Linked DNA regions of Drosophila melanogaster. Changing the gene in region 1 together with any one later gene gives a genetic interaction. Each region holds a gene or a part of one and is shown on either strand. Other genes may lie near its edges.

Region 1 (7,921 bases):
TTTTAGCTAGGTGTATAATTGGTCTTGAACCAAAGTATTGCTTTAATATTGGCCTTTTCATTTCAGTGTGAGATATTACATAGGATTCGATATATAAAAGTAAGCAACTAATATATAATAACAGTCAAATGGCTTATATAGAGTAATATCCTAAACCCCTTCTGAAATCAAAGAATACTTTTCATAATATAGCATCACAATCGATATTTGATTTAAGATTGATCTCCAGCTAATTCTGATCCATTGTAGACTCGTTCGTGAATATATGATATTCATTTCGATATTTTTCGATATGAGGCTTTGCGAAACACAGTGTGTGATGATATGAGGAAAACAAAGACGATCTCAAGTGATACGAGTAGGTTAGGATCCTTTTGCTAACTTTGAAACACACCATCTTTGTTCTTAGTGAATACGTATGCGAAGGCTCTGTATGACATCGAATAGATATTGCTTATTGGAGGATATGGGGATCGTGGATAAATATAAATAGCAGGTGGCTGAATCCTTGGCTGGGCTGCTCCTTTAGAGGAAGGCCTTCTTGCTGGTCTCCTGGGCCGTGGTGGTGGTGGTCGAGATGCCCAAATCCTTGCCCACACTCGCTGTGGTGGACACCGCAATGCTGGGTAGTGGTGTTGCTGGTTGTGGTGCACTAGTGGCTCCAGTGGCTGAAGTAGTTCCAATTCCAGACGCTGTCATCCCCCCAGCGGAACTCACGGGGGGAGGGGGCGTGGCTGCCAGGGGGGTGGGTATACGGGGCTGAAACGTAGGCTTGCCCATCGCCAGGGCAGGATTGAGATCCAGCATTGTCCGGGGACTCATGGCCACAATGCTTGCGCCCAGCGGACCTGCGAAAAGTTGAGCAACTTTTTGTTTTAACCCCGCCACAGAAAGGATTATCAGTTTCGGTTTCGGGTGGATAGGAAGTAGGTGGAGTAGGTGGAGTTATATAGCCGGAAACAATAGATAGATATAGCAGTGGGAAGTCCGGGAAGAGTAAGAGAAAAACAGAGAAAGAAAAAGAGAGAGAGAAATAAATATTATTTTCATTAAGTCGGTTAGTCAAGCTGGAGTTTCCAAATCTGGTAAACTTTGATTTTCATATGGCAGGTGGGAGGCAACTTTGTTTTCTTATTTTTTTTTATTTTTTTTCAAAATTGCTGATGGTATATTACTGGGTGCACTTGGTTACTACGATATACGAGGGTTGGTGGTGGTGGTATTCTTGGGAGGGGTAAGTGTAACACGAACATGATTACAAACATCACACACAACTATGGAAACACTAATCACACTCCAAGACTCAGGTCAAAATCGGGTCACATGCAGCATGCTCGGCAAATAAACACACACATAAGGCTAGATACAATATCTGCAAATTACGTTCGGCCAAGATTTCCGCTCGGTTGGATAAGTTGGACTCAGGCAGAGTGGGGGGGGGGTAAAACTTTGTAGAATCAAATGCTGGGAAATCGGATTTGTGAAGGTGGCTCTAAACTCTAGAGTTTCTGCTTGCTACGAACTAGTTTCCAAGTTTTTCAACTATTTGACACTTTTAGTTGGGGATTTTTCGGGTTGGAAGAGAGCAAGAAAGTTGGAGGTTGTTAGGGGTAGTTAATAAAGGTTTCTTAACCAACACACACCCGCCCAGCAGAGTCCGAGTTTTGGTTAGCTGATAGTTAGATGATAGATGAACGAACCGGGGATTTCTTATTTCGTATATAACTGAGGTTTCGTTTTGATTTGGTTTCGATTTTTTTTTTCGATTTTGTTGCCGAGTTTTTCTTGTTTTTTTTTTTTATACTGTGTTTTGAGCTGGCTTATCAAATTACAAAATATCTTTCTGGTTCTGTTCTGTTTTCTGTTTTAGTCGAAACTGAAGGCCATATCTGAAATACAAAAGTTCGAGATAATACAAAGTATATTCCAAGTTTTTCGATCAATTACATAGCTAGGGGATCTCTGATTCGGGGCAATTAGACTAGAACGAAAGGTCACAAAGTTACACACGCACACATAGAGAATGACAGAGGATACGTTTACATATCTGATTAAAGTAGTATAGTATCTTATACACTGCTAACGAAGAAACGAACGAGCCAGAACTGAAGAACAACACGTACACGATATATATAGAATATAATATAACTTATGTAAAGATAGGTGGAGAAATAGAGAGAGAGAGGAAAACACGTAGAAAATTACATATTGTAGTTATATATACGATTATATAGCAGTTTGAAGTGGTAGTAGTAACAGTAGATATCAGTAGCAGACGTCGTCCATATTCAAAGTAACCATACGAATAATCATATATCTATGGCTATTTGGCATCCAGATCCACGTACCACAATCCGATTTGGTCTATATCCGCTATATGATCTTTATCCAGTCCCTGGGTTGCGTTTTCTTTTACTCTCAACTTTTCCTTCGTTTACTCATAGATCAGTTTGCCAAATTCTTATACAGAAAGTATCATCATCATCGCATTGCAATTTCTAGCTTGGAAGTAATGGTATGGGGAGTTCTTGGGTTCTTCATCTGGTTCTGTTGTGGTTGTTGTCGTATCGTGGTTCATGTTGTTGCTGTTGTGTTTGTTGGCTTAGAGCAGCCTGCTCTTTTTGCCATCGCGCGGTTTGCCAATCATTGTTGTATATTCATCTATTTACACAAGATTTTTGGGGTTTGGATTGGATCGTTTATCAATTAAATGAAATTATATTAAAGTAAACGAAAGTGTTTCGGAGCATAGATATCAAAAATCAATGGTTGAAATAGGTACATATATAAAATAGAGTCTCGTATCTGGGTATAAAAATGATTGAAGAAAGGGAAAATATATATATTGCGATACATATTCTTGTATTTTGCTGACTCAATGGAATAAAGTACATCCCAAACTGATTGAAAGGCGATGACTTTCAATATACAAGTATGCCTTCGATGGATGAAGAAAAAGTAAAGGTCTGCTTAGTACATATATGATATGGAAATGACTCGAGTCTTTGGCTTTACGCTTGGAGTTCAAGTAATTTGTAGATCGATAAGTATGTTAAAAGAATTAAGAGAAGGTAAACAATATTTGTAGAAATTTCTATTTGACTAGTAATAATTCTTCCTTAACATTCCCATCGATTTTCCACTTGAACTCCATGAGACACCATTAAATTTCCTTTGAATGATTTGCGTAAAATTAAAGCTAAGCTTGAAATTGTAAAACTGGAGTATGAATAAAGAAGCCTTAAATGCATGGTAATTACATAGAGTACATATATACACGTACACGACGATTGATATGTTATATAATGGATATAGTTTAGCCAAAAGGGGAAGCGCACCCAAAATCAGGGGTCGTTATGGGCAAAGATTCGCATTTCGTGGCAGCATTTACTGGGCTCTTAAATTAATATCTTTTACTATTAATATTCATTTGCCAGGAGAAACTGCGAGACGGCACAAAGGATAACGAGTATTTATAACTGGGTTGTGTATTGCAAAGTTAATCCATTGAACTCGATTACTTTTGAACTTCAGGGTGCAGCTGTGCGAGCTTTTTAAGACAGGTTAAGAACTTGTATTAGCTGGTTTGCTCGTCCTCAGTACTTTTAGTGGAAGACATTAGGTTTTGGCGGTGCCTTTTTGAAGCTATGTTCGATTCCAATAGGTTTTATTTTACTTTTTATTTTGTACTTTGTTGGTGGCTTTAGCTTTGGCTTGCATTTTGCTTGGATTGCGGGAATCAGTGTGATGTAACTCCATTAAGGACACTCAGAGACTCACCTGACTTGGGGCTGACCAGGTCCTTTGTTTTATTGTTCATGCGACGTGGTCCAGTACCGCCGGATCCCATGGGACCGGAGTGGGGACCCGAGCCCGGGGTACCGCAACCACTGACACCACCAGGGGCACCTGAAGGATACAATAATCCCAATTAGTAAGTAAACAAAATTCTAGCTAGTATTTATGAATATATAGTAATAATCAGCTCGTCTATTCCCACTATTTCTCTAACTACAATAATTTACGCCATATTGTAAACACGCCTCATTGCTTAATTTATTATACACGATTCTATTTGCATTATATTCGCATTAATCGTAATTTACGATATATTCGAACGTCTCGGATAGTAAATGCAATTTCAATAAATCAGCAAATGAAAGCTGGATGCTTGTGCATTTTCTAGAAAATATTCGTATTGAATAGATTATATATTCTGAGTTTGGATTGAAATTTCCTTATCTTTTGTTTATGCTGTATGACTAACTATGAAGGTAGATCCACTCACCTGGCAGTCTGGGCTGGCGCGGCTGCTCGACGGGAAGCACTCGTCTCCGCTTCTTTGGCAGTTTGGCCCTGGCCTGCGTGTGCGAGTAGTACATGGCGAAGTTGCTGACGATGACGGGCACTGGCAGTGCGATGGTTAGTACGCCGGCCAGGGCGCAGAGGGCGCCCACGAACATGCCGATGTAGGTTTTGGGGGCCATGTCGCCGTAGCCGACGGTGGTCATTGTGACCAGGGCCCACCACAGGCCCAGCGGTATGCTGTTGAAGTCGTTGTGCGGATTGGGCTGGATGCGCTCCGCGTAGTAGACAAGGCTGGCGAAGATCACGATGCCCAGGACGAGGAAGAACACCAGCAGGGTCAGCTCCTTGGCCGAGGCCCGGAACGTCTGGATCAGGATCTTCAGTCCGGACGAGTGGCGCGTCAGCTTGAACAGACGCATGATGCGGATGATCGAGAAGAACTCGAGGATGTCAGCGTTCTCCAGGTGCGATGCGAACCGCTGAAGCACTAGATCGATATAAAAACTAAGCGTCGCTATGTAGTCTATGATGTTAACAGATGACTTGATGAACTCCCACTTGTTCGGCGATGAGATAAAGCGCACCTGGATAAAAGGATATAATATTTATTAAAGGTCTTTACTAGGAGTTTCTAAGCAGTTATGATCTCTGATTTGATCTCTTACCAATATTTCAAAGGTAAACCAGGCATTGCACACGCATTCGATATAGAAGAAGGCTATGTGCGCATTGGTCTGCGTTTTGTCCAAAAACCAGCCATTACTTCCATTCGCAGTTTTCACTGTAATGTTCCGGACGATGGGTACCCGCATATCGGGATGGGTCTTCAGGCAGAACGACAGGATCGAAATGCAGATGAAGAACACCGAAACCACGCCAATAGTCTAGAAGTTAGACGAGAATTGGTAAAAATATTATAATTAAATAAATCTAGTATCTATAGAAATTTGTTGGAATGATTAATGTGCTTATATGCTTTGATATGCATTCACTTGAAATAAAAATAGATGTCTAGCCGTTTGTGTATATAATAATATAATTACTTATTACAATGCTTTTAAAGTGGATTTTTCACTCATTCGGAAAATTGTTCAGCATGCATATATCTTAATTGAAAAATGAATTAAAGTGTTTCCTCTGACACATGCAATTTTGCATGGAAATGATGAAAGACTTTGATAAATATAGAATGCAATAAACATCTATAGATTTGACTTACCTTGGCTGCATTGGAACTGTAGGGCTCATCGAACAAGGACCAAATGCGCGGCTTCATTTCCTGCCACCAGGATATTGTGCCTTTGTAGTAGTCCTCCTCGAAGCCGAATTTGCGTGCCAATTCCTCTTCGGACGGTTTTTCCGTATCCAGATCGAGACGATCGAGTACGGCTAGGGTTTCCTGGGTGTCGCGATGCTGCAATAGATAAAATAAGGCTTTAATTTTACGAATTTTTAAATATAATATGGCACTAACCTGTGTGTAGGTCATCCAACAGCAGGGCTCCACTTGGTTCGAGTCTAGGCCCCAGAACTCCAATTCCTCCTCAAACAGCGGACCGCACACATCCGTGGGATAATGCAGCTTTCCAGTTCTGTACGATTGTGAAAAGTTAATAATATATAACAATCGGATTCTAGGACACCCACCTGTAATAGTTGAGCACTTGTGCGAAGACGCCCGGATGCCGATCAAAGAAGTACTCATTCAGTATCGGATCATAGTTGGCCAGCGCCTCTGTTAATCGCGATAATCGCGTAGCCGGAATCTTCTTCAGCGTGGCCTTGTAGGTTTCGTGCCTAATGCCACCCACATTGAGCACCACCCTGTTTTCCGAGTCCATGTTGATCAGATTCATGGCTGCATGCGCATAGTGTTGCATTTTTTTAGGTATATAAGTCATTGTCTGGATCAAGAGCTCAAAAGCCAACCAAACGGTGTGAGGCTGAACGGTTTCTTTTTGTATAATTTGTTAAATTAAATTAAGATTAAACAAATAAGGTAATAGGTAAAGTAAAACTTCTGTTTGTGGTTTTTGCTTGAGGTGCTTTTAAAACCTTAATGTTTCTTGCGTGAGTGTGTTTTGTGTGGGCTTATGTTTTCTATGGTTTTTGGGACTTCATTGTTCTGATTTTACGCTATCCAACCTGAATGCTTTTCGTTGTCCTTGCCCACGATTTATGCAGTTATGCCTACCACTCCGTCAAGGCACCACTTCGATCCACTCTTCGGCACCCAATGGGGATCAGGCCTCAGGACCTAGTACCACCACTGGAAAATATTTGCCCAGATGTTAGAAACACCTCCATTGATCCTTGCAATCTAGCTACTCACTACGTTGGGGCTGAGTTGGACAACATGCCGCTGCAATAGAAAGGTTTACAAATATTATCTCACCACTTTAAATTCTTTCTTTTACTTTGGTTGAAGTCATATTTAGTATAGAAAGTTTTCGGGGCATTCGTGAAGTAATTACACATTCATTTTAAGGAGACGTATGGATCCCTTCAATTTAATGGTTCATAATTATGAGTTTAATGGCCTAGACACATGTGCTGCATATCCAAAACGACTTTTATATACGCACGCACAACTATTTTTAGGAACAACTAATTTAGAGGTTGCCCATGGAAAATGTAATATATTTTGGGGAAATATTTCTACACTTACTACTTTAAAAATTTTTAATAATAATTAATTGCTGATCAAATCTCTTGACCTCGCCTCGCTAAGTAAGGCATACAAATTATTGATTCTAAATCAATATTTGGGATATACAAATCATTGGGAAACTCAAATATTTCATATCATTTCAGATGCGTGGCCAAATTTCGCACATCTTCGGATTATGGAAGAATACCGGGCAATTTTGTTTACCTAAAAGATAATGATCATAGATCAGTTATTCCAAATCGAAATGATTCAGTTATGTATTAAAGTGTGCCGGATGGAATCGGTAGAAGTAACGCTTTCTTTGAATTGATGTATGCATCCGATGATTCAATGCCTGGATTCACTTTATTTAGCGAGTACTTCTACGCCGCATAAATTTTTAGAATCAACAAACCCAACGCTCAAGCTAAGGCCATTTAATTGGAAAATAGGCAATAATATTCGCTTCGATTGAATTGACCCATTAGCAGCTCGTGAAGCGCATCCCACCGATGATTATTGTACCTTTTTCCGAGATCTGACTAAATATAGTTGAGCCATATCATCGATAGCGTCATCAATTTAGGAGAGTGGCACGAAAAATACTATTTTTTGGTATATAATAAAAAAAATATATAAAAGGAGCTGAACGTAACGGAATAATGAAATTGCCTTTCGTGATTTGCACAAAAGGCAAATATTTGTTCTTAAACAATATTTAGTTTTGGCGCTGCATTGTTTACACTCTCGCACGCACCGATACAAATGTATCTGGGTACTGGGTACTCTCCGCTACAGCTGCGGCCAAGAAGATAATTCCGGAAACGTCCTGACAGCCGAAATGCAGTAGTAAAGGATAAAAGTGTTAGCATGAAACTAAATGAACAATAGATAGATAGAATATATTTATTGCATACTTTTTGACGATTTTATATATTACTAAAAATCTCTGATTTCTGCGGC
Region 2 (4,904 bases), on another chromosome or scaffold:
TAATACATATTTTAACGTCCTATTAAAGTTGTAGTTTGGAAAGTTTTGGTTTTGCATTAGAAATCGCCACTCAACTTGGTTTTTTCTAAAATTATTTAGGTCCGTTTTGCATATTTTAGGTGTTTTACAAAATCTGTGTAACATACTTAATATATTTTTAGAAAACTAACACCTAAGTGTACGGAATCAAAAAAAAAAAGACAAATATGTGATATTTAAGCAAATTTGCCATAATCTCAAAATAGGAAAAAGTCTGTTATGCTTATATTTGAGTGTTTTAAAAAATTAGAAAACCCAATTTTAATTATTTTTAGAAAAGACAAAATGTGATATTTATGCTTGTTTTTGTTTGTTTTACAAAATTGGCATAACCGTCTTTTACCTATTTTTAGAAAACTAACACCGAAGTGTACAAATTCAAAATGTGATATTTTTTTCACATTTGCCATAATCTCCTTAAAATAGTAAAGGCTGTTATGCTTATTTTTGTGTTTTTTACAAAACTGGCATTCCCGTCTTACTTATTTTCAGAAAACTTACACCAAAGTGCACAGATTGAAAAAAAAAACACAAAAATGTGATATTTCATCACTCATCAACTCAAAATAGTAAATCGAAGGGCAAAAAAATATGGTATTCTGTTTGCTATTATAAAAGTTCACGAGCTAAGCTAACGATTCATTAAAATATGTACATACATATTTAAGTGTTAAAAAAAAATGTGTATCTCGCGAATTCCTTCGATTTCCTCGCGTTGCCGCCATTTTGAATATTCTCTCTCCCGAAAGTTGTAGAGTAGAGCAAAAACTTTGGATGTTTTGAGAGTTCGAAGTTCATACTGTCATCCCGCTCTAAACCTCTGCATTCCATTGTGTCCCGTTTTGTGATTTTTCCTTTTCGGGATCTTCTTTGCGTTCTTTGCCCCCGGCATTCAAATTCCGAGAGTCGTCGCGAGTGGTCGTTTGAAACGTATTACCCGACATCGTTCTAGCCAACAATTTTCTGCTGCGGATGGGGGCAGTACTGTTTTTTTAACATTGAGTATTGCACTTTTCACAGCCCGAAAATGTTAGCAACTGCCTTATACTAACAATTAGCATTTTTAAATTATTAGAAATGTGAATTAAGTTTGAAGCGATTTGGTTCGTCACAAGGGCAATTCTGCATTTTTTAACTAGTATTGCACTTGAGACGGCCTGATTACTTTAAAACGAATCATTTTATGAGCAAAGTAATTAGTTTTGTTGTGTTTTTAAACTCCTTGCAATAGGCGGCAAGACGGTGAAAAATCGAAATTTCTAGATCATTTTTCGGACGGTATATGGGTTAATATTTCATTTGTCGAATATATTGCACATTCACCGGCCTGAAAATATCAAGAATTAACATCGAAAAGTGAAAAAAAAGTGTTTGCGAAAACATAAACATTTGCAGGGCGGGTCGTGTGTCAGTGTATTTATATCTTAGCTATATTGCACACTTCCCGGCCTTTAAATGTCCAATGTTTCAACATTTAAATCTGTGAAATCGTAAAATTATAAAAATCCAGTTGCGCTTTTCTCGGAAATCCGCAATCCGTTAGGTGTGAGCGAGATGACAGCTGTTGCGGTTCTTCCCCATTCCTCTTTCGCTTCGTCACAGACTTGCCAGATCGGCAAATTGTGTGCAAAGAGGAACGGGGAACTTGGTTAATTTCTTTTGCAAGTGGCAAGTGTTTAATTATTACAATTTGTGCTTAACTTAATATTGGCCGATGCTTGAGCTAAATATTCCCGTACAACTGGTGCAACAAAGTAATAATAAGGCATTTTGAGTTGAATTTAGCAAATTAAATTAGTGCGCTCGGCTGGTTGCCTTTATTTTGCACGTCATTTACCGTTTTTCAAGAGGGCCAGTAGTGTATGGCCAGTAAGTATGCACAAATAAATGTTTCTAATCCGTTTAATGATGGGATGGCCATTGGTTTGGAAAACTAACAAGTAGGAGAATCATGAATAATGCCCAAGCACGCGCGAAATCAAGAGGTGTGAAATTGGGTTCACGGGCTGCGCCTTGGGCTCTGGAAAATGCAGTAGATGACCAGCTGAAGAACGGTTTTAGTTTTGGCGGAAGTGTAAGTGTACCGTTAGTACATATAGCGAAATATATAGGGAAAATATCCATAACAGCTGCTGCATTTAGCTCATTTTAAACTATTACTTCCCTGTTCTCATCTGTGGCCGTTGAGAACGAACCGGCAGTTCGTGCTGACAGCGAGCGCAATTACATAAATGTTTGTTTTGACAACAATAGCGAGTGCAACAAAAACAACAACAGCAAACGCAACAAAAAAGCCGGAGACGAGATTGCATAATTGCTTGTAAGATTTTGCTCCCACAATTTCTCAGTTTTTGTCATGGGACAAAAAAAAAAATTATACAAACTTACCGGCTGATTGTTATCTCCGGCAGAGAGCGGAAAAGAGCGGTAGTGAGAGCGATCCTTTTACCGTATTTTACAGCCTCTCGGTTAAGCTAACTTGCTAAAGTCGCTCTCTTTTTCGCCGTGCGACAGAGATGCTCCGTGCGAGAGAGCGACTTACAGTGGGTCATTTTAATTGTGCTCTGCTTATCTAAATGTATTCAAGTATATCCATAAATTGTAATGTAGCACTTTCGTAATTGCCGGCTTTATTTATGCACTGTGAACAGCCAGGGGCTAGATGGCGCCTTAGCATTTTTCCCCACTGTCCACGCTCTAATGCCTAAGAGCGTTGGTTCACTAGCTAGTTTATAGCTAACTTTTGAAAACTCCGTTTGTTAAATAATTATTCAACACTATCTTATTCAAAATTCTTAAAATATTTTCTAAGGATTTTTTTTTTTACCAATGAAAGCATAATATAATAAAAATGCATATAGATTTATGTTGCAATAATTCGGATAAAACGGCACACTTATCTTCTTATATACATACGTACTTATTACATTTCTTTTGGGTAATTAACCAATTGGTTAACATTGAGTGCTTTCACTATAGTTTTGCACTCTCTGCCATATAAGAACGACTTCTGCTCTGAAACTGAGTCAGCATCTCTATACGCCGGCTCTCGATTCCCGAGGTAATGAAGTTGCAGCCGAGCTGAGCCTCAGTTGCCTGGCGACTAGCGAACAGCTTGGACGTGTGGTGTGCTCTTCGGTGTGGTTTCGAGTCTCGAGTTCCGAGTTTTCCCCATATTGCAGCCGTCAAGTAAGACCCGCTCCGAGTTTTGTGTGAATTTGTGTGATATGTGTGTGGTTCGCGGCTCGTTTCGTTTTTTATTTGCCGTTGTCATTGGTTTTTGATTTGTTGAGCGGTCGCCGCAAGCCACTTGACGGGCATTCTCTTCTGGCTTTGTTTCATAATAACTCGCTGTGTGTGTTTGCGATGCGGTACATATATATGTTATGGTACCTACATATATGAATTGTGTCTGTGAAAACGTCAAAAAGGCCAGGCCAAGAATACAAATAACAAATAAAATGTTGGCCCGCTTGTGGAGCATGTGCCGTTGCTTCGGCTTCGGTTCGTTCGAAATGCTTGTAATAATATGCCGTTTGTCTTTCCGTTTCTACCCCGACCAATTAGATCCGGAAATTTTGGAAAATGCTGCTCTCAATGCAAATGTGGCGCTCTCTGTGGCTGGCGGCCCTATTCTGCGGATTAGCCCAGGCCAAAGGTAAGCACTTTTTCTATCTATATACTATACGCAAAAATTTAAATATAAATATCAGAGTTAAGATCGGGGAGTGCAAGGCTAAAAAGCTTGAGAAGCTCCCATAGCGCTGCCATGATGTCATTCGCGTAATGAAACACAATAAGTATTTATTTTTTCTTTTCGATTTTGTTGAAAAACCGACAAAGTGACCTCGTTTTTGGTCGTGAAGTGCACATACACACACAATTTGTGGCCATTTGGAGTGATGGTCGAATAAAACGATCTTCGGTTTTGTCGGGGGCGTGCTGGAGCTTTTTTTTTGGTAAAAAAACGAATGACTGAGGCAACGAACTTGCGGCGACTTAATGAAGTTTGGCAGCGCGGCCCTGTCATGATTCACTCACTCGTTCTTACGCTTCCTGCCATATATTAATGCTAAATTGTATAAGGCATATATCCCTCGAAAGCCCTAACACATTAGTCATTAACTTGCCTGCCCCTGCAAGTTGCCTTTAACAGCCAAGACAACAAACGACTAAACAAACTATCAAGCGAGCGCGGCGAAAAAACAAAAGACCAAACAAGACACCTACACAAACACAAGTGCTGGGAAGGCAACATGACACGCCAAAACAAAAAAAAATAAGATATTACAAAGAAATAAAAAACAAAGCACAGTCCAGCCAACAAGATAATATCGACGAGAAAAATACTTAAACAAAGCGAAAAAAAGGGGCAGTACTCATAATAAAGCCCACACTCAACTGGTCAAGAATCGGCTGGGGTTGTCTTATTAAAAGGCAATCAGAAAGGAGAATTAACTGCAAAAAAATATTACGCGAGAAAAAATGAAGAATTAAAGGCGAAATACAGCCAAAACGGGCGACAATCGACGACTTGTGTAGGCGAACTGGTCCCGGGAATTAAGATGCAGCCTAAAAATACATAAGGCCGATACGAAAACATCTCTCTCGCGGGCTACAAACAAACAAATAAATATATATATATGTACATATATAGAAACGGTGCAGACGAGGCTGTAATTTACGGACAAACCAAGCGAGACCGAGAGTCCGAGTTTCAGCTCCTCAGCGTTCTTCGGCAGCCAAAGCTGAAAGCTAAATTATAACTTGCCAACTTGCACAGCAGTGGCGCTGGATGATAAGGGGTAAGCGGTTTTAGTGGGCGCTGCTGAGTGGGCGTGGCTGTCTTAACTAAAGCGAAACTT

Evidence for each region.
Region 2: of Shaw (region 1) and qsm, changing one suppresses a phenotype caused by changing the other (phenotypic suppression), as found in Drosophila melanogaster (one study listed by BioGRID).

Annotation. Positions count from the first base shown.
Region 1 is NT_033779.5:3,719,624-3,727,544, reverse strand, and holds the start of Shaw (shaker cognate w), read right to left. Parts: upstream 6,210-7,921; coding exon 5,956-6,209; intron 5,901-5,955; coding exon 5,783-5,900; intron 5,723-5,782; coding exon 5,528-5,722; intron 5,193-5,527; coding exon 4,974-5,192; intron 4,893-4,973; coding exon 4,289-4,892; intron 3,910-4,288; coding exon 3,781-3,909; intron 2,662-3,780; coding exon of another isoform or gene 2,603-2,661; exon of another isoform or gene 2,349-2,602; intron 1,890-2,348; coding exon of another isoform or gene 1,867-1,889; exon of another isoform or gene 1,644-1,866; intron 867-1,643; coding exon 526-866; 3' UTR 1-525. UniProt on the Drosophila melanogaster protein: Mediates the voltage-dependent potassium ion permeability of excitable membranes.
Region 2 is NT_033778.4:20,580,354-20,585,257, reverse strand, and holds the start of qsm (quasimodo), read left to right. Parts: upstream 1-1,666; 5' UTR 1,667-1,908; intron 1,909-3,125; exon of another isoform or gene 3,126-3,228; intron 3,229-3,606; 5' UTR 3,607-3,624; coding exon 3,625-3,697; intron 3,698-4,904.